3 linked regions of the Alligator mississippiensis genome follow. The main gene of each other region encodes a partner of the protein of the gene in region 2 in a complex. Links are inferred from orthologs where the notes say so. Each region holds a gene or a part of one and is shown on either strand. Other genes may lie near its edges.

The links.
Region 1: the proteins of CDKN1B (region 2) and CKS1B are in contact, whole or in part, in a crystal structure (PDB 2AST), measured with the Homo sapiens proteins. The link is inferred for Alligator mississippiensis from reciprocal best matches to the Homo sapiens genes CDKN1B and CKS1B. Residues at the interface, in NP_004055.1 of Homo sapiens: Glu185, Gln186, Thr187, Pro188, Lys190; in NP_001817.1 of Homo sapiens: Tyr8, Ser9, Asp10, Lys11, Arg20, Glu40, Arg44, Gln49, Gln50, Ser51, Gln52, Trp54.
Region 3: the proteins of CDKN1B (region 2) and CCND1 are in contact, whole or in part, in a crystal structure (PDB 6P8F), measured with the Homo sapiens proteins. The link is inferred for Alligator mississippiensis from reciprocal best matches to the Homo sapiens genes CDKN1B and CCND1. Residues at the interface, in NP_004055.1 of Homo sapiens: Lys25, Pro26, Ser27, Ala28, Cys29, Arg30, Asn31, Leu32, Phe33, Pro35, Val36, His38, Glu39, Glu40, Leu41, Thr42, Asp44, Leu45, His48, Cys49, Met52; in NP_444284.1 of Homo sapiens: Met56, Ile59, Val60, Trp63, Glu66, Val67, Glu70, Glu92, Lys95, Lys96, Ser97, Arg98, Leu99, Gln100, Leu101, Ile126, Tyr127, Thr128, Asp129, Ser131, Arg133, Glu136, Gln139, Met140, Leu142, Leu143, Asn146, Lys147.

The regions. Positions count from the first base shown.
Region 1 is NC_081838.1:12,771,014-12,777,764, reverse strand, and holds CKS1B (cyclin-dependent kinases regulatory subunit 1), read left to right. Parts: upstream 1-4,668; 5' UTR 4,669-4,875; coding exon 4,876-4,934; intron 4,935-5,298; coding exon 5,299-5,426; intron 5,427-5,602; coding exon 5,603-5,655; 3' UTR 5,656-6,250; downstream 6,251-6,751. Other genes in the region: FLAD1 (FAD synthase), read left to right, coding at 6,715-6,751.
Region 2 is NC_081827.1:137,609,538-137,616,846, reverse strand, and holds the start of CDKN1B (cyclin-dependent kinase inhibitor 1B), read right to left. Parts: upstream 3,011-7,309; 5' UTR 2,660-3,010; coding exon 2,284-2,659; intron 1,498-2,283; coding exon 1,376-1,497; 3' UTR 1,367-1,375; intron 1-1,366. UniProt on the Homo sapiens protein: Important regulator of cell cycle progression. Inhibits the kinase activity of CDK2 bound to cyclin A, but has little inhibitory activity on CDK2 bound to SPDYA. Involved in G1 arrest. Potent inhibitor of cyclin E- and cyclin A-CDK2 complexes.
Region 3 is NC_081825.1:215,198,903-215,205,734, reverse strand, and holds the start of CCND1 (G1/S-specific cyclin-D1), read right to left. Parts: upstream 3,002-6,832; 5' UTR 2,761-3,001; coding exon 2,563-2,760; intron 1,199-2,562; coding exon 983-1,198; intron 105-982; coding exon 1-104. UniProt on the Homo sapiens protein: Regulatory component of the cyclin D1-CDK4 (DC) complex that phosphorylates and inhibits members of the retinoblastoma (RB) protein family including RB1 and regulates the cell-cycle during G(1)/S transition.

The sequences.
Region 1 (6,751 bases), on a different chromosome or scaffold from region 2:
GAGACACAGAGAGCATGTGCTAGGCGGCCACAGCACAAGTCATGTCCTGGGGAGGTGCCGGAGCAGCAATGCTCAGCCCCAAGTGACACAGTACAGGATGAGGAGCACAGTGGCCAAGTCATGCCCCAGAGCTGTTCACAGCACTGCAGAGACCTTGTGCGCCCCCTGAACCAGGGTGCTGGGGCACCGCCAACCACACAACAGCCCCAAAGAAGCAGGCAGAGGCTCGGATCCGGCGGAGAGGAGAGGAGAGGAGGGACCGGCGGGGACGTGGAAAGGAGCCCGGCTGGTTGCAGACCCACTCGCCTCACCAGAGAGAAAGGAGAGGAGTGAGAGAAGGCAGGCAACCCGTCACCAAAGCCAGGCACCCTCCACCGCAGCCCAGCCTGGCCGTCCTTACCACGTACTCCATCTCAGCTGCTGGGCTGGGCCCCACACAGGCTACAGGTACCAACAGCCCCTGTCCTCCTGGCGTCCCACCTGCATTCGGTGACAAACAGGGAATTAGCCAGCGCCGCCCTGTCCAAGGGGCCTGGCAGGCCTGGCACATCCCCTCTGCCCTTCTGCTCGCCTGGAGAAGGCCCTGCCTGACCTGCTTCCGCAGGCATTGCTCCTGCTGCCTGGCCAGGCCTGCCCTGCCTGGCCTCGGGTGACATGGCTGTCCTCTGCGACACAGGGGGAGCAGGGACCTCATTCAGATCCTGTGTGGGCAGGAGGCTGTGATGCATGAGGCCCGGGGCAGGTTGCACATGGGATAAGTCTCGGGATCTCCAGTGTGCCTTGAACGCCGTCCTGTGAGCCTGGCCCCATTGCTGGGAGTCACCAGGGTAGCAGCAGCCCTGCCTCCCCTGTCTGGTGCTCCAGCCCCGATGGCCTGGGGACTCCTTCCTGGTTCCTCAGGGCACGTGCCCAGCTCAGAAGCCAAGCTCAAGAGATGAGCTTTCAGTCCCCGGTGACCTCCTGGACTGTGGGGACCAGGACCTCCCAGGGCCCACCATCGCCCATCCTCCGGTGCCTCCCCAGGGAAGGCAGGAGCAGTGGTGGCTGAACCCCAAGACCCTGCTCCGTGAGTGGGATTCAGGGCAGCACCTGGAGTTGTGAGCTTGGGAGCCCCCACAGCCCCATGGACACTTGCCACCCCTCTGTTGCCAAAGCAGCATTCGAGGTCCTAACTCTGCTCAGGGCCAGGGCAGCTCCAGCAGCAAGGAGCTTGCCAGCTGGAGCCGGGGGCTGGCTGGACCCAGGGGAGGGAGGCCACGCAGGGGACAGCCACAGCTGTGTGGAACAAGGGCGGAGACAGCTCCTGCCCAAAGAACAAAGCAAGAGGAAGGGGCCCAGCTCCTTGCAGCCCCCCCGCCCTGCTCCCATCCCCTCTCCGGAGCCATCAGGCTTGGCACGGAGAACAACGCCAGCCCAGAGCGGGAAACAAACATGATTTACTTCCTCGTAGGACTGTGCCCTTATCTGGGGCCTGCAAAGCTGGAGTGACGTGATTCACCCAGAGGCAAGAGATAAAGAGCCTGTCTGGCCCTGGCCCCACAGACCTGCACAGGCAGGGCCTGGCCAGGCCCCATGGCAGCAAAGGAGCTGTGATAACATGACCTTTCCCTGCCCAGGCAGTAATCATGACAGGCTGGGCAAGCAGAACAACACCCTATCTCCTGGGCTGCCACCGAGACCAGTGCCCACACCCCACCGTGAAGACACCCCAAAACACAGACAGGCTCGTGCCCATGCCAGCTCCAGCTGGGCACCAGGGCCCTGAGCTAAGCGTGATGCCCGGTGGAGGTGGGAGCTGCTGTGCTCCTCACAGTGGTTGCATCACAAACCACCTGTGTGGCATGGGCACTGCAGCAGCCCTGACATGATCCCCTGCATGGCAGCCCCAGGTGCATACCATTCAGAGCACCTGGGAATCCCAGCCCCCCAAGGCCACCTGAGGAGCATAACAAATCCAAGGAGAAAGGCAGCGCTCGCTGTGCTCAGCCCAGCAGCCCAGCCCATTAGTGAGCTGTGGCAGCGTGGGGCCTGCGCGGGCAGAAGGGCTTGAGGGGTAGCCCGCAGGACCCTAGCACGTGCTGCGATCCACCTCCCCTGCCTCCCCACGGGCCCCTTGGTGCCTGGGCGTGGTTCCCGCTTGCTCTGCCAACTGCAGACCCTGCTGGGCATGGATGGCACCACCAGACTGCAGCAATGGCTGCCAGGTCAGGCAGAGTCGGCCAAGCAGTGTGGCTGGGGCTCACGCATCTGTTCCCCACAAGCCTGCGACGAGACCTGATGACCCCGGTCGCAAGCAGAGGACAGATTTGGGCTGGGCAGCCAGCAGGCAGCCCCCGCCCTGCAGCCATGCATCACAGATGCCTGCAGCTTCTCCATGGCAGCCTTGGGCCACAGCAGCCATGGTTATGCTATGCACTACCTCCTTGGCTGCATGCAGCTCCCCAGGCTAACAGCAGCCTCCTGAGCCCCTTCAAGCTGCCCAGAGCAATCCCAGAACCCCCACGCAGCTCGCTGCAGGGGCTGAGGCACCCCGAGCTTGGTGCTGCACTATCAGAGCCTTTCCTCCCTGCACATCCTGCCACCGCACCCCAGGGAGACTCTTAAAATACATGCGAGAGGAGGCTCCACAAAGCAAGCAGCTGGGTGCTAAATGCCCCTAGCAACGGTGCCCGCACCGTGGTGACTCATGACATGCGTGCCTGCCACAAGCGCTGGTGCCGAAGCTGCTGGTTATGCAGCACTGGGCTGAAGACAACCACAAGAGGCAGGAAGCTCCCAGGCAGGGCCACGGGCAGGGGCTGCGTGGGAAAGGGGCCCCACACCCACAGCCGGGCCTGAACATGGACTGGCTGCTACATCCCGCAGGAGGGGTAGCACATGCCCAAGGCGCACCACAGCTCCCCGACGCATAGGAGGTGGGAGCCGTGCATCTCCGGGTCACGCTCAGTGCCTCCCTGCCAGCCCAGCAGAACCGAGCACCTCCCATGCAGGTCTGGCAGCTCCCTGCCCGTGGAGGTGACGACCAGCATGTCTACTACAGGCACGAGAAGAGACCTTTATTATTTCCTGCTCCAGGTTCCTGTACCTTAAGCCCCAGAGGCAACAACAGCCAACTCAGCTGCTGACTGATGCAGGCAAGAGATGCCCCATGTTGCTGCAGCCTTTAGTCACAGCCCCCCACAGGCTTGCTCACGCCGCAGCCTGACAGAGATCTCTGGTACCCTGGCCCCCAGCATCGCACTGACAGAACCACGAGCAACTCAGGGACAAATGTGTCCTTCCTGGGCCACGGGCTGGAGACACCTGGGTCCCACACAACTCAGGGAGCAGCTACGGCCTAGGTGTGATTTGGTAGGACCGCTCACCCCCATGGAGGTGCAAGAACCTGCAGCACTGGGGCGAGAGCAAGCCCCCCCCAGCACTGCCCAGACCCCCTCCAGCTGGGGGGGGGGGCTGCTCCCCCAACCTGCCCCAGTGCTAAGGGGACAGCGGGAGGGAGCGGATGCGGCGCCTGCCAGAGCAGGCAGGAGAGCGCCTGGGGCTGGGGGAGGAGGCTGCTGGGAAACAACAGGAAATGGAGTCGCACCAGGAATGCTCCCAGCCGGGGGAGGGGGGGGGGGAGGTGAAGGCGCAGCCCAGGCCACCCCGGTCCTGCTTCCTGTCCCGCTGGAAAGGAGCTGGGGAAACTGCCAGAGGAAGCCGTGATCGGGACGAAGCCCGGCCAGGGAGGGAGGGAAGGACACCCCCACTGTCCCCGGCCTCCTCGCATCACCGATTACTCGGATGGGACTGTTTGACCACCCTTGTCCCTCCTGCACACACTCCCACTTGGGACCCCCGGGGCCAGAGCTGTCCTCGCGCCCGCTCACGGCCCCACACCTGGCTCAGCGGCACCAGCAGCTGGGAGGCGCTGGCCCTGCCTCCCCTTCCCGCCTGCCCCATGGCACCCGCCTGCGCCACCCGGGACGTCTCAGCACTGGACATGGATGGGCAGCCCTGAGCACTGTGCACCAGCTCCTGGTGTCTCCGTCTGTCCAGGGATGCCGGGAGCAGGCCTGGGGGGCGGTCGTGGGGGGGCAGGAAATTGGGGCATCCGGGCGAGTCCAAGGGCAAGCAAGCGCACGCAGGGGGAGAGGGGGCGGCCGAGGGAGACAGAGGGGCCCGGATGGGGCTGGCGGAGGAGCAGGTCTGAGCAGAAACGGGCCCGCGGGGAGGGGGCCAAGAGCCCACACGTGATGTGGGGGCAGGATGGGGGCATGGACAGGATACGGCCGGTAAGGGGGTCAGGGGACAGGGTCGGGGCCGGCCCGGGGTCGCGGAGAGGGAAGGGAGACCCCGGGGGAACCCGGCAGGATCCGGCCCGGGGGGGTGGTCATGGTAGGATTGAGCCCCAGGAGGTCTCAGCAGGAACGGGCCTGGGGGGATCTCGGGGGGCCCGGCAGGACGCGGGGCCCGGGCGGCGGCACTCACCGGGGCACCATGGGGCCTCGCGCCCGCTGCGCTCCCACGGCTCCGGCACCCACTTGCCCGGGCCCCGCCACCCACTTCCGGCCCCACTCCCGCAGCGCGGCCTCAACGACCCCGTCACGTGACGAGGGAGCCCCCACGGGCCACGGCCACCTGGACCAATGAGCGCCCTTGCAGGGGTGCCCGCCCCCCGTGCGCGGCGCTGGCCACTGAGCGAACCGAGGAAGTGAAGCCGGACCAATCACCTCCCGAGGAGCCCCGGGGGAGCGGGGCTTGCTCTGCTCGCGCCGCCCGGGCCAATGGGCGCGCGGGGCGGCGGCGTTTGAAAGCGGCGGTTGGGGGCGGGGCCCGCCTGCAACTGCCGGGCGCGCGAGGGCTGTCGGGAAGGGGGTGGACCCGCAGGCCAGCATGGCGCACAAGCAGATCTACTACTCGGATAAGTACGACGACGAGGAGTTCGAGTACCGGTGAGAGTGGGCGGCCGTCCCCTTCCCCCGCCGGGGTCTGCGCCCGTTGCCGGCGCGCGGGGATGACGCCATCACCCCCTTTCCTGGGCTCGCCGACCCCGTGACACCACCACCCCCTCTCCTGGGCTCTATCCCCCACCCCTATTCGGTGCCGGCGCGTGGTGATGGCGCCATCATTCCCTTTCCTGGTGTCTTTGATCCCTGCTCGGTGCCGGCGCATAGTGATGACGCCAACTGCTCCCCCCCTCCCGTGGTCTGCGACCCCTGCAAAGTTCTGGTGCGCGGTGATGACGCCTTCGGCCCCTCTCTTGGGGTCCGGGCCAGGTGCGGGCACGCCGTGATGACGCTGTGGCTCCCGTTGCAGGCACGTGATGCTGCCCAAGGACATCGCGAAGCTGGTGCCCCGGACGCACCTGATGTCGGAGTCAGAGTGGCGCAACCTGGGTGTGCAGCAGAGCCAGGGCTGGGTGCACTACATGATCCACGAGCCTGGTGAGCCACTGGGGTGGGCTGGGCCAGGTGCTCCATGTCCATTCGCCTGGCTCTGCCCATGGCTGGGCTCAGGCGTCTCCTCCCTGGGCAGGTGGGCAGATGCTGGGCAGCAAGAGGCTGCCCCGTGTGGTCTGCGAGTCATTTCCGCGCGGTCCTGATGCTGCTTCTCCCCGCAGAGCCGCATATCCTGCTGTTCCGCCGCCCGCTGCCGAAGAAGCCGGAGAAGTGATGCCTCTGCCCCAGTGCGCTGCCTCTCCCTTTGCCACGGCTCTTGCTGGAAAGCACCTTCCCTGCTCCTCTTCCCTGTCCTCAGTGTTTGGAGACATTGCTCAGAAACGCTGTCTGAGGCTGGTGTCCGCAGCCGAGGAAGTGCCAGCCTGACTGGCCTGACTAGCAGGGCTGGTGGAGGAGGACTTGGCTCCATGACACCTACGATTCCTGCCTGCCGAGGGGTGCAACTGTAGAGGACACCTGGTGACGGTGGGGGGGCACAGCTCTGCGCTGCTACCCCGGGCTCTGACTCAGGCTGGGGGTGCACCATGCCTGCTGTCAGCACAGACATGGCACTGCCACCCCTACCCCTGCCACCCTGGACCCTATCTTCAGCCAGGAGTGCAACCACTTGCCTATCATCAGTGCAGAGAGCTGGGGGGGGGGGAAATACGGCCTCTTGCCCCCTGCGGGCGTAGTGCTACCTCCAGCCAGGCTGGGAGCTGAACAGGACAAGCAGCCCAGTGCAGTGTCCCTGCCTGCCCCGTGGTGCCAGCGCAGGATCTGTGGTCACCCCGGCCGGAGCCCATCTCCAATAAAGCAGGTTGGATGTGGCAGTCTCGTCTGTGGGTTCCGTGGGCACGCCCCCCACCCGTGTCCAGCGTGGAGTAGGAGGCGCCGGGACCCTGCGGAAACCCTGTACCGGGGCGCTCTCCACGCCGGGCCGATCTATTCCTCCGGGGCGGGGGGGTGATTTCCCAGTTCGCTGGTTCAGCCTTCCGGGAGCGCAGTTCTCCGAGCGCGCCTTTGGCCAATCGAGGCCCTCCCCGTCCTCGAGTGGCATCTTCGTTGGCCAATAGCAGGGGAGGGGGCGGGGCGGCCTACGCCGGGGGCGGGGACGGGGGAGGTCCGGGGCGCAAGGCCGGACCGGACTGCTGGGATCTTTCTCGGCTCGGGGGAGGGCGGCTCTTGGGGCCCGGACGCTTGGTGCTCTCCTCGCTGCCCCCTCGAGGTGACCCCGCTAACTGGCTCCCGCCCGCGCCCGGCTAGGTGCCGGCGGCTGCTCGGGGCCGCGTCCATGCGCTGGGGCCTGCGCGTGGGCCGGGGCCTCCTGC
Region 2 (7,309 bases):
CCCCCGGCCCACGGAAATGGGAGTGGTTCCCTCCGCGCCTGTAAACAGGGCTCGGACACCGAGTCACCAGGTCTGTGGCGCTCGGCTGCGGGAGGGGGAAGGGGAGCCGGAGCTGTTTTCGCGGCCGGTGCGCGGGGCGCCGGCGACTCCCGAAGCTCCCCGCCCCGAGGGAGCGCGCGGGAGCACACAGACGAGAAGAAAAGCAGGAGCCCTCTTCCCTCCACACTTAACCCCTTGGTGCGGCCGCTCGCCGCGGCTCCGCTTCCCCTTCCCTCACCCAAATAAACAGACAGTAGTAGTGCTATTTGCATACACATCATGCTGACGTGTTCCTGGCCCCGTTTACCCCAGCGGGGCTCATTTGTGCTCACTTCTGCTTTCCAGCTTCATCTGCTCGGCACCGAGCATGTCTGTAAACCTCCCTTTTTCTTAAAAAAAACAAACCAAAAAACCTCGATTCCCTTCAAACCGCCAGCCCTAGCCGTCCCAGCCCCTGGCTGCTTCAAAAAAACAAACTCATTAACCCCCTCGGTGCCCTGGACACTCACTACGGTGCCAGCGTATTCAAAATCATCAGCATCAAAATTAGAAGTATAAAAATAATAAATATCAAATAATACACACACAAATAACACTAGTGATGATGATGACCATAGTAAGAAGGGTGCCATCCTATTAAAATCATCATCATCATCACAACAATAATAAAAGCAGCATAAAAATAATAACCAAAAATAATACACAATAAATAATACACATAATGATAACAATGATGATGATGATAGTAAGTAGAAGACATGTTCTGCCCACCCTGAATTTCAATCCAAGTGCTCCCCTTACTTTTTCTCCACTCCTTACTGACTTAAGAGATCTCACCCTGGCTTGTTTGCTGAGCCAGAGACAATGCTAACATTGTCAACCAGCTAAAAAACAAGAAAAAAACCCAAGCAGCAAACAAAAAGGGGAAAAAATACTTGTCGTTTGACTTTTTTTTTTTTTTTTTGGAGCGAGCCTGTTTTGAAACTCATTTTGCCAGCATCTTATTGGGAGAGGAGGCCTCAGCACCTTCTAGCCAAGTGACCCAAGCCACCCCAGCCAGGTTCTTGTGGATAAACAGCCTACAGCCAGGACTTGCTTAGACACCTCCCCCCCTCAAAAAAAAATCTCTCAAGGTTGAGCACAAACAAAATGCAGTTAATATGGCCAGCCTCATCCAAACCCCCTTTGGAAATGCCTTCAAAGAGCAACACACACACACACACACACACACACACACACACACACACGGGCAGGAGTGACTCCACACTTCCCTGCCTGTTCAGATCCGCTATTTCTTTGGGACACCAACATCCTAGTGGGAACCCACCTACACAGTTCACGTTTGATGTTGTCTTGGGCTGGATTTCTTGGGCGTTTGCTCCACTGTGCTGGCACTGTGGGAGTCTTCTGAGACTTCTTCTTCTGCTGTGTTGGCTCTTTTATTCTGAGGAGAGGAGTCTGGGGGGGGCAAAAAAGGGGGGGGGAACCTGGTGTTAAAATACATTTCCTGCTAGATATGCACTCACAGGACCCAGGGTACAGAGAAAAGACCAACCCCCCCCCACCCCCCTTTGACAAGCCCCAGACTGGATGGATGGCAGGAGAAAAAACATTTAAAAAGCTTAGGGGCTGAGTCCTTTCTCTGATTCAAGCAAGATACAAGGTTTCCTGTTTGGGTCGAAAAAGACTTCTCTCCATTTTGGTGCCCAGGGATGCTGTGATCCTGGGGCTGTTGCATTAGGAATCCCTGGAAGTAGAGCCGAGGGAGGGAGGGGACAAGAGGGGGGCAGATGGAGGGGCATCCAGCGTGGGTGGGGGCGAGAGGGGGGCAGACAGAGGGGCATCCAGCTGGAGCACCCAGCCTGGGTGGGGGGAAAACGGAGGAGCATCCAGTTGGGGGACTCAGGTGGGACAAGCCTTTTGCCCTGCAGCAGGGCCAGATGTGACAAAAATAATAATAAGTCAAGCGGATGTAAAAAGAATAGTAAAGTGGGTGTTGAAGGAGAGCGAGGCAGGGCAGACAGAGGAGCATGGGGGGGGGGACCCAGGTGGAAGGGCCAATGCCCCCGCGCCTTTTGCCGTGCATTAGAGGCAGGGGCAGACGTGCCGCAAAGAATAACCACTCAAGCGGGTGCCGGGGCAGGGCAGCATCCAGGGGCGGGTGCCGCTGGCAGGGCAGACCAAAAGCCCGCGCGGCAGGGCAGGGGCAGGTGCGCAAGGCAAGAAGAGGAGGTTGTACGTTACCGTCGGGGGCCGGCCGCTTCCTCTGCCCGGCGGCCGGGTCGGCGCAGGCGGCGCGCGGCGCGCAGCGAGTGTCCCCCGCGCCCTTGCCCTTGGGCAGCCGCGTCGGCCGCGAGTAGAAGTCGGGCGAGGCGCCGGGCTCCAGCGCCCGCCACTCGAAGCGGCCGCGCAGGGGCCGGTGGAGCTGGAAGTCGAAGTTCCACTTCCTCTGGCAGGCCTCCTCCAGCTCCTGCCGGTGCTTCTGCAAGTCCCTGCTCAGCTCCTCGTGATCCACCGGCCCGAAGAGGCTCCTGCAGGCGGACGGCTTGGGGTGCTCCGCCTGCCTCCCCTCCATCCGCTCCAGGGTCGGGCTCCCATTAGAAATGCGCACGTCGGACATGTCCCCCCCGCCCCCCTCTTGCCGCTGGGGGTGGCCGCGCCGCGCTCCCCCCCACCCCCCTTTTTTTCTTCTTTTTCCTTTTCTTTTGAGTGGCCCGCAGCGCGCTCGCGGCCCCGGCCAGCAATCGCATAAGCAGCCCCGCGGGCGGGGAGGGGGCGCGGCGGGGCCCCCCGGAGCAAGGCGGGCAGCTCCGGGCGCGCGGCGAGCGGCGGCCGGTGTCACAGGCGCGGCGTAGTAGCGGGGGGAGGAGGGGGGTGCAAAAGAAAGGCGGAAAAAAACAAGAAAAAGACGAGCCCTCTTCTCGCTTGCCCAATATGGCGATTGAAGGGAGGCTGACGAAGAAGAAAATGATTGACATTCCCAGTCTATTTAAACAGCGCCGCGGAGCCATTGGCTCCAGCGCGGGGCGCCGCCCCATCTGCCCGCCCGGCCTCTCCCGGACAGCCCCTGTTAAGGTGGCCCGAGCTGCTGTGCTAGGGGCAGGGAGGGGGGTTGCTTTGCTTTACCCCTGCCCCGGGCTGAAGGGAAGCTCTGACCCCCTCCTCCTGCCCTGCTCCTCTTCTCTGGGGGGACCCGGGCGCGGGAGCCCGAGTTACGTGTTGACCCGGGGCGGGGGGAGGCAGGCGGAGGTCAGGAGTTCAAGGAAAGCGCCCCGAGGGGAGCTGGGGGTTGCATGTGGGCGCCTCCTTGTTGTGTGGTGGGTGTCAGTCCCCACGGGCTCTCTCGGTGGCCACGCAAGGCTCGCTACTGACTTGGTCAGGTCCGTCTTGCCCCCGTGTCACGCGGCGGGTGCTGAAAAGGGGTCTGAGGTTTTCTCCCCCCTGCTGCACATCTCGCTTGCAGCTTCCAAACTTTTCCCGAGCATGACCCCATTTACAGCCCGATTTCCTCAGCACGGCCTCTCACTCCCAACCCGCAGCAACCCCATCCTCGGATGTGGACACCCCACTGATGTTGCCACCCCATTTGGGGTCACAACCCACAGTTTGGGGACCGCTATCCCAGACCTTAAATGCTAAGATCAAGCCAGACACTTCCCCCCCACCCCCCGATCAGTTTAAAGTCTAGGACAGCTAGGTCTGGGACAGTGTTTAAGGTCTAGGACATCTAAACCCCAAGGCTTTTGGGCCTGGGGCTTGCATGTAGGATACCTTTCTGGATTTGGGGAGTGTCCAAAGCCCCAGACAGATGGGTTTGGGAGGGAGGAGCCACACAGATTTATGGATTGAGCTCCGCTCAGTCAAATGTTGGAACTTGACTATTGGGCTTTGCACAATTGAATTGGAACTGATTAGTCCTTCAACAAGATACAAACGAATTAAGGTCTAAGAAGTTCCGTACCCCTAACTCCCATGCTCAATAGCTCCCGATGCCCCTTTCCTCCAAGAATGTGTCCAATCCCTTTTTGAATCTAGTGGAGCTGCCAGCTTTCTCAGTGTCTGGCAGCAATGAGTTTCACACTTTAATTCCACACTGTGTGAACAAGAACTTACTTTTGTTAGCTTTAAAACTGACTACTTACTAGTTTCATTCGTTTCATAGTTTAACATGTGTTGGGGGGTGGCGGGGGAGGAAGAAGGAACCCCTCCATGCCAGTGCACCTTTTGCCAGCCAGCTAAGGAACAGCGTTTGGGGGCTAGACGGATCGTGGTCACATGTGTCTTCCTCCCCTCAGGGAGAAAGGACTTGGGGGAGGAAGTGGCTTTGAGACTCTCCCTAGGTGGGAACAACCTGGCAGGGGCAAAGCCAGTTTGATTTCTGCAATATTTCTGTGCTCCTGGAATCACAGCTCACGCGTGTCTTCCCCGCCCCCAGGTACAAAGAGGGTAAGAGTGACCCTGGACCACTCTCCATTCCTTCCCAGTTCTTGGTCCCATCCCAAGCCATTTCCTTTATCAGAATGATTGGATGTGGGTGGGGAATTTCTCCAGGGACATAGGAATCATCTCATCCCCCTGGGACAACGAGCACCCCCTGGAGATGCTGCTAGCTGTCGGTGAATGGCTTGAACTTTGGAATGGCTGGACCTTTGAATTGAAGCCTGTGGGGGCCACAGGCATTTTACCCTGCAGTCTAACGAGGGTCCCCTCAGTTTGGTAGGCAAGAGATCATAATTTCCCTATCAGTGGGATTGTATTTCTGCATGACTTCGCAGGGATCCATGTAGCACACAACTTGTTTAGACAAAATCCTTTAAAGAGTGAAAAGCCAATACAATGGGGGTGGGGAGAACTCAACTGGCCTGGTTTTGAAGTAGCTGAGTGTTTTTCCACCTACGCACACCAGTTTGGGTCTAAGCTGCTGAAGCTTCCCCTATGGGTATTCCTGAAGCAACTATATCTTCATCATAATAGTGTTTTACAAGCATGAAGTGACTTTCATAAGGCAACACATGGGGGGTTAGGGGGAGGGTGAAGGGGAAAAAAATCCAGAACATTTTCTTATTTCTCCATTCCCCTCCCACTCTTAACAATGACCAGTCCCAGGGCAGAGAAATTCACATGACTTGCCCAAGGCCCATAGTTTCAGTTCGTTTCAGAGCCAAACATCCCTAGTGTTATGGTCTGTGTTCAGTGTGTCATGCCCAGAATATCTCAGCACTGCCAACTCCAAGTGTTCAAACATTGTGTGTAAAGCCAAAAAAAAAGATAATCATGAGACTGGCTTAAAAAAATATGGGATTTTTTTATCAGCTTTTAGGTAGCAGTTGGTTTGTGTTTTCCAGCTTCTCTCTGCAACCACATGTTCTAGCAACTTACTTGAAAAACAAATGCAGACTGCCACTCATGTCTGCAGGAACTGACGCTTTTTTTTAAAGTATTGCACAACTTACAATACAATTGCAAGAGTGGGCAATACAGGCACCCATTCCACTGTTTTATATCAAATAAGGCTTTTCTTTTCTTCCCCCCCCGGCTGTTTCTGTCTTTGAGACTGTGTTTTAACTTGCACAGCCATCAGGACACAAGTACCATTTTACACTCCTTGCAACTGTCTCAGCTGGAGAAGCAAACTGTGTTTAGTGTGCTGAGCCACATCTGGTATATGCACTTTAAGCCTGTCCAGTTTAGAAAAGTAGTTCTGCAAAGCCAGGTGTGCCCTGCTCAGGACTGCCTGATGCTTCAGTGACAGATGGGGCTGGCGTGCGGGGAACAGACAGGTTGGTTATGAAAGGGTGGTTATCTGGTGAGTGTCCTTATAGTGTCAGGATCTGCCTGTAGTAGAAAACAGCACTGGCTCAACTTCATCACTTGAAAAATCAGAAATACAAGCAATCAGTGGCCGTGTCTGCACGTGCATTAATGCACCATAGTTACTGTGCATTAAGTTTGATACTTATATAACCAAGTACTAAATCAATGAGCAGGAACTGGCACTACTGTGCAATAGCACTGATGCACAGCTTTTTAGTGATGCTAACTGAGCAGTAGCCTAACACTACTGCACAGTAGCATATTAGCATGATGTTTCCTGACATGTTACTGAGCAGTAGTATTAGACTACTGCACATTTAGTGTCTGGTGTAGATGTGCCCAGTATACATCCAGAGACCACTGGTTTTGTTCTGTTTTTATGCACAGGCCCACAAACTGGTTTCTGACTTGGATTCCTCTAGGCTAACACAATACAAACAATTAGGAATAGCAACAACCACTCATCCAAGGGTGGTCAAACCAGCTGAAGTGCATCTAAATTAGGGGACTGCAGCCTTTAACCAAGATAATTTTTTCTTCAGTTCAGCCAGTTTGTTTTTCTAGTAAAATAAGGCCCAGCCCCACCAGACAAGAGACCAAAAGAGAGGCCAAGGCAGGCAGGTGTGGGGCTGAGCCTTGGAACCATTGTACAAGCCTGCTACACCTGGGACATGATTCTTTCTCTGACTTGGACTTGGTGCTCCTGTTAGTAAAGGCTCAAATCAAGTGTAGTCCTGGACCTGGTCCAAGGAGTGCTGGGAGCTGGGAGTCTCCCTGCAATCAGCCCCGCACACCGACCATGTCACCATGACGCCCAGCACAAGGACCTTCCTGAAGCGGTTCCTGAAGGAAGCCGTCCGAAACAAGTACACCAGCGACCAGAGGGCCAAACCCGACCAGGGCAAGGTCTTTGACGTCACCTCAAAGTGGGACTCTAGCAATCACTTCATGCCCAGCGGGAGCTTCACGCGCTTTGCAGACTGGTGCTTCCTCCACCGCGCCTGCCTCAACTGCCTGCCTCTGAACGGGGCTGTCTGCTTCAGTCACCGGGACAAGAGGTGCTGACGGTGTGGCTACTCGGTAGAGACCCTCCCCCACGTGCTGTGCAGCTGCAGGTCGCATGCCAGAGCCTGGCAGCTCCGCCACAATGCTGTCCAGGACTGCCTGGTGAGGGCCATCCTGGCCACAGCAGGGGAGATCTCTGTGAACCGCACTGTCCCGGGCTGCGAGAGCCAGATGCAACCTGACATCGTGATAACCAACAAAGAGACCAAGAAGGTCATGATCATGGACGTAACCCTCCCCTTCAAGAACTAGCACCAAGCCTTCACCGACATCTGGGCTCACAAGTGGGAGAAGTACGTCCCGCTGGCCGACATCCTGAGGGGCTGCGCCTACGACATGACGGTTGACATGCTCATCATGGGAACACTTGGAGCCTGGGACCCCAGCAACG
Region 3 (6,832 bases), on a different chromosome or scaffold from region 2:
TCCTCAGTCAGAGGCATTTTAGTAAGGAAATGTTCAATGAAATCGTGAGGGGTCACTGCAGCCAGATTCCATTTCAGCTTATTCACCAGAAGCAGCTCCATTTGCTACAAAAACAAAGAGGAAGGGGGAAAGGGAAGTGAAGAAGAAGGAAAATGTGGTTAGAAACTCTATGTATAAATAGCTTAAAATGGTATCTAGCTTTGAATTGTGCTTATCTGATTATGGAATCCTAATGCACTGGCATCTCTTTGATGCACTGGCTACTTGGGAGACTGATAGAGAAAATACTTTGTGCTAACCAGTGCTGCTCCCATGCTGTCAGCAGCGTTCACAAGCAGGATGGTGCCTAGATGTGGCTACCTTTAGGTATGAAACTGCTTAGGTCCGTTCCACCTCCACCCCCACACGTCCCCAGCACCCAGCTGCTCTGAAATGAAGCATGTGAACTATATGGTCCAAACGCAAGAGGGCGCCAGCCACCCATATTTTTTTGCCTACACTACTGTACTTTCAGTGAGGTAATAGGCAAGGATTTCACATATTAGGGATTTGCTCAAATTAAACTAAGCTGGCTCAGTCCTAACCAGCGACAGGAAGGGGGTGCAGAGGACCCCCACATGGCTCACGTTACTGGAGAGGGGAGGGGAGGAGGTCCACTCTCCCTCTGGGGGGGTCTACTTTTTTTTTTTTTTTTTTGAGGTAGCCCTGCAAGCTACATTTGCTGCTGCCATGTGCAACAATGAAGTTACTGGGAAGTGAAGGCTAATTCTCCTGAATGAATGGTGCACAATTATGCAGAGGCCCTATGGGCAGATGTGAGAAAGTCAAGAGGTCCTATGGGCAGATGTGAGGAAGTCAGCCGCAATTTCTTCTCTGGAGCCTTTTTTGTCCCTCCCCCCCTTTCCCGATCTTGCTTCCAGTGGTCTGTCTGCATTGGGCGGGATTGGATTTGGGTCTCCCGAGGAGGTGAGCCCCAAATTACCAGTAATTCGTCGGGCCTGATGGAGTTGTCGGTGTAAATGCACAGCTTCTCTGCCGTCAGCGGGATGGTTTCCTTCATTTTCGAAGCCACGAACATGCAGGTCGCTCCCAGCAGCTGCAACCGGCTCTTCTTGAGGGGCTCGAAGGACAAAAACCTGTCCAAGTAATTCATAGCCAAGGGGAACACCTCCTCTTCGCATTTCTGCTCCTCACAAACCTGCCAAACCAGAGAGGTCGTTGAAAGGAGGCCTGGCATCAATAGGGAGTCAAGCCCCACTCCCTTCCCTCCCCCTTTGCGCTCGGGCTGCAGGGCTGAATATTGGGGAGAGGAGGGGATATGTGAAAATGCCCTGAATAAAACCCATGTGGGAAGGGGGAGGATGAGAGGAACAAAACTGAGTGAATGGGGGGAAGGCTACGTAAAAATGTGGGGTTAAAAGAAAAAAAAAGGGGGGGGTCATTCCCCTGGATCGATGGAGTGGGGGATCCACAGGACCCGGTGGATCCCAGCCGGGTGGGATCCCCTCAGCAGCGCTGCCAGCCGCCGGGGGCGAAGCCGCACTCCAGACACAAAGGTGGCGTCCGCCGGCCGCATTTCCCCAGACGTCATCTTTTCAAAAAATATTTAAAAATATTTAAAAAATCTCCCGAGCCTCCTCAAGGGCCTGAAAATGCCCCTCGGGGGCGGCTTGACCCAGCCGGCTCGGCAAGCCGGGCGGGGAGGCCGGCACGGCGGTCCCCCGAAAGCAAAACCCCGGGTCCCCCCCGCTCCCCTCCTCCACCCGGCCAGCCAGCCGCGTGCGGCGGCAGGGACCGCGCGGGCCGCCTTCAGAAATTAATTAAAAATAGTCGGCGGGCGCCCAGCGCGGAGGGGCGGCCACCACAATGTGGCCCGGGCTCCGGGGGTCGCGCTGCCCGGGCCCCACGGCGGCGCCCGCCCGCACGCCCGTCCCCAGGGGGCTGCGGGCCGCCTGCCCCGCGCCGGACGCCCCGGCCGCAGCGCGCCTCGCGGGGGCACCGCGCCTGCAGCCCCGCGCCGCCGCCAACAAAGGGCCAGGGCCCGGCCCCCGACCCCGGCCCCCGACCCCGGCCGCTTTGCAGTATCATTGATTACCCCCCCCCCCCCAAAAAAAAAAAAAAAAAAAAAGCGAGGGAAAGAACAAAGATGGCGCGGAATACTGGCACGGCCGGCGCCTGCATACGTGTACGGGGATATTCATTTAAAATTAAAAAAAAAAAAATCCCCCCCCCTTAAAGAGGGGGCGAGGGGGGCAGGACGCCAGAGATGGAAACTTTTTTTTTTTTTAATTCTGATTTTATTTGGGGGAAGGCGGGGAGGAGGTGGATTTGCAAGCTGGGGGGGCATGAAGACCCCTTCAATGCAGCAGGCTTGGGGGGGAGCCGCGCTGCCTTGATGGTGCGGCTGGATCCGGAGCCGGGCACGCTGCTGCCTCCCTCTCTCCTTCCCTCTCTCCCTCCCTCCCCGCCGCGGGATGTCCGGCGCTGCTGTAGGGTTTCGGGGGTCTCCCGGGGTCCATCCCCTCCGGGCTCCGGCAGGAGCGATGCCCCGGACATACGCACCTCCAGCATCCAAGTGGCCACTATTTTCCGCATGTAGGGCAAGATCTCCTTTTGCACGCACTTGAAGTAGAAGCCCGAGGGCGTGCAGGTCTCCTCCGCCTTCAGCATGGCCAGCAGGACCCTGTCATTCAGTAGGTTGGCGTCTAGGTAGGCTCTTCGGATGGTTTCCACCTCGCAGCACAGCAGCTGATGTTCCATGTCTGCCTCCTTCTTCCACAGTCAGGTTTCTAAAGGACTGACTCAAGGCTCGTCCCTCTCTCTCTCTCTCTCTTCCCCTTCCAGGAGTCCCTTGGATGCTGCTTGCTGCTACTGCCGCTACAGCCCTCTGGAGGCTGAAAAACTTTCCAACTTCCAACAAAACTCTCCTGTATAGTTTAGTCCCTGTGACGTGACTGTTGTTAAGCAGAGATCAAAGCAGCGGAGAGAATGAGAGAGAGAGAGAGAAGCCAAAAGCAAGGGGCAGAGCCCTAAAGCCATCCCATAGGCTTGGAGTCCTTCCCCTTTGCTTAGCTTATACAGAAGCAGGGTTTAATGCAAATGCAAATGAGACAAGGGCTTGCTTTCTTCAAGGGCAGGGGAGAGGTGGGGGAAACCCAAATTGTCTCTTCAGTGTATCATGCATAATTTTCAAAATGGAGAGAGTTGGGCAGTGGGAGCTAAATGATGAATGGGACTAGGCCACACACAGACACACGCGGATATGGACACAGGGGGACCCTCTTCAGATTGTTTTATTGGGGGGTAGAGGGGAGGCAGCACCATAGTGTTGTTGTTGTTGCTATTCTTCATCGTTTGTCATATTTCAAAGAAACTCCTATTTAAAAGCACTCCCAACCTGGAATATGCACAGGCGGAGCATTAATAATCCAAAGGCAGACTTGTTCTCCATTTTGCCTTCCTGGTTTAGATTTAGATTATATCTTTGAAAGTTAAAGGAATGTAGGATCTCCTTCCTTGGGGTGGGGGGCTTTTAGATTTTACCCTGCCAAAAGGATTGGGGGACACAGGGTGAAATCCATTTAACCCTAACCAAACAGCAGAGCAAAGCTCCACACCCTGCCCCCGCTACACGCCACCACCCAGAAAAAAAAATCTCAGCAGTGCAGCAAAATGGTGGCCAGCATTTCCTCCCACACAGTTAACACCTAAAAGAAGAGGAATCCAAGGGAAGGTGCCAGGATCCAGGGAGTTACCCAGGGGCCGATCCCAAGCTCACGGAGAGGGGGAGTCCGTCCTTCCACAGCTTAAATTTTTGTTGATGTGGCTCCAGCAATAAGTTGTCAGTTCCTCAGCAGATTGAGGCTGTCTATATCTTTAATATATTTTGGGGCAGGGGAATGAAACACTTGTTTATCTTCTTTCCTTTGAACCTAGATATGTTTTTTGGGGGAAAAAAGGGATCAAGCATTTGGACTCCATGTTTTTTGGGCTCTTAACAGCAAAGCTCATGGCAAAACTCACAGTGACTTCAGTGGAACTAGAATTTCACTTGTTTGGGGGGAGACTGTAGATATATCTGTAGATGTACCTTTCCTTTGCTGGAAAGGTTTCCCACCTCCTAATGTGGGCACGTAACAATAAATAATAGGTCCTCAGACCCCAAACTGCCGTAGCACTCCTCAGAGCATCATCAGTATGCTGAAATAGATGAGCATGGTGGCTGTAGGTGGCTTGCTGGAGTGTTAGGTCCGGGTCTCCCCTTCAAGATGTATAGTGAGCACTAGTACAGATCATAGGGCATAAAGCTGCAGCTTCCCACATGTACACAGTGTCTCTTTGTGAGCTCTCCGCATGACGCTTGCCTTTACTTGTATCTTATCTACATGATGATGACATTCAGAGGATCCAAGGAGGATCTAGGCTACCTGTGTCTTCCCCACGTGTGCGCCTCATAACCAGACTTGCCCAGAAGAGTTATGAAAGGGGGAAGCATTAGTGTTCTTTACTCCATGCATTCAAGAAAAATAAAACACATTACTTTTATTCTGGAAGTCTCAGAGGTTTGCACTTCCTTGCAACAAGCAGGCCCTCCATTCTCTTCAAATCGGGCTACCTAGATAGACAAAGTCAGGGGTTTCTACATGTTTCTACCTCCCTCCCCCAGCTCTAAGACATTTCCAGATGTGCAGGTTTCAAGCACTGGTGCAATGCCCTAAGGGCCTCGCACCTCTGGTTCTGGGGCATGTTCTGCTCTGCCAGGAGGGCAGCATTGGTCCCCAAATATGTGCTCGTGGGTCATAATAAATAATAATAATGGGAGCCGATGACCAGCCACCCTTCCCTCTCTTTCCCTTCCCCCAAAGCATTATTTGCTCTATGAAACCCTTGCCCTCGCCATGCATTTGCTTTCTGAAACCAGGCGAGCACTGTTGTTTTTTCATTCATAAAAATCCCCGCCGGTGTGGCAAGAGCCCTTGATTTATGAGGCGGAGTGGTACAGCTTTTCCGGAGCCCCCCTTCCACCTCCTCCACCACAACACCCTCCAGCTGAGACGGCTGCACACACAGCCCGGCTTCTGCTGCGTGTGGCAATATTGCATGAACTAGATCGCCCACTTAAAACAAAATTGGTCTAATTCCTGGAGGGAACCCCCCCCCCCTCTTAAAATGGGCCGCAATGCAAGAGGAAGCTGGAATTAGCATAAGCCAATAGGGGAATAGATCTGTTACCAGGCGGATCAGGCAGATCTGAACCGGGAACTTGGTTGATTTCTCCCTGACAAGACAAAGGGGACTGGTCAAAAGTGCAAGCGCCTGGGAAAAGCGTGAAAGCAGAGGGCGCACCGGTTGGAGGCTGAGTCCGTGCACAAAAGGGTCGCCTTTTCTGGCTGCCACTGATAACCGGGGAGCCTTGCACCGGCACGGGAAGGATCTGCAAGAATAACCAGGGGAACTTGAAATGTTTGTTTTATGTTACATCCGTAATCAAATAAAATAAAGTAAAATACAATAAAATAAAATAAGTCCATCTCAAGAATCGCGAGCTGGGAACGTGAGAGGTTTAATACAGCACCTCTGCTCTATTGGGGGGGGGGGGGACGTTATACAGAGGCATTTAACAAGGCTCTGAAGCCCCCCAGAGAAGGGAAAGCGAAGGAAGGGGCTGCAGCCTCGCCTCCCCCTTGATCGTTCACATGCAGGAAAGACTCGGGAGGAGGGCTCAGGTAGGAGGTATTGGGGTTTGTTTTTTTATGCCCCTCCTAAAGCATCCAGATGGGAGTCAGGTCCCCACATGTTCCGGGCTGGTGCTGTGCCGGCTCCGCAGCGAGCACTTTCGCCCCGGTCCCAGGCGCAGGGACCCGGCCTTCTTTTGTTTGTAAGAATGCCATAAATTAAACAAACCACTTCCCACATGTGGAGGTGGAATCTCACCTTGAGCCAGATACCTGATCGGCGACTTTAAAGGCTTGCTGGCTTCCCCCCCCCCCCCTCCCTCTCCCTCCTTTTCCCCTCCCCTCCTCTAGTCAATGTTTTTCATTGTTAAACCGATTCCATCTCATTGAAAAAAAAAAAAAGCTTCTTCCTCCGCGTAGAGGCTCCGCTTTCACAAGGGCGATTGCTGCAGTTTGCCTAAACCATGCATCGCCTCCTCCCCCCCTCCTCCCCCCCCTTTCCTTCCCCATTCATTGTCTCGCAGGCTACAGTCAAAGCACGTGTTGCTGGTGTTCTTGCTGGCAGTCCCCACTCATGCTCAGAGCACGCTGCACAGAGCTGGGCTGGGGTGGGGGATCTTAATAAAACTCCCAGGCTGGTGAAACCTGCAAGGGGTTGAATGATTGCTCTTGGGGCAAATCCCCCACGAGGCGCAAGAGGCCTAGCAGGAAGATCGGGGACGGCGGGGGCAGTGTTTCCCGGCACACGGGGGGAGATCACCGCGCGGCCCGCCCGCCTTATCGCAGGGAGGGACAGCAGAGCCCCGGACACACGCGCTCCGGCTGCCCGCCCCGACGGAAGCAGCCGCGGAGACATCAAGCGATGAGCTCCCTCCGCAACCAAGCCCTTCTGCCAGCCAGTCCCTTCCCCGGGCTGACTCACAGCCTCGGAGTCGTTGCCCTCCCTCCCCGCCTCCCCACACTTTCCCCGTCAGTAATGATTAACAGGAGGCGAGTTGTGGGGAAGGGGCGCTGGGGACTGTCACGATCAGATCAGTAACCAATAAACCCGATAGTGCCCGAGATCTTTGTATCCTGGACTCGTCGGGTCGCCCCTGCAGCGTGCCCCGGCTCTGGGACCCTTTAGCAAAACCCCATTGGACACGGATCCTTTTAAG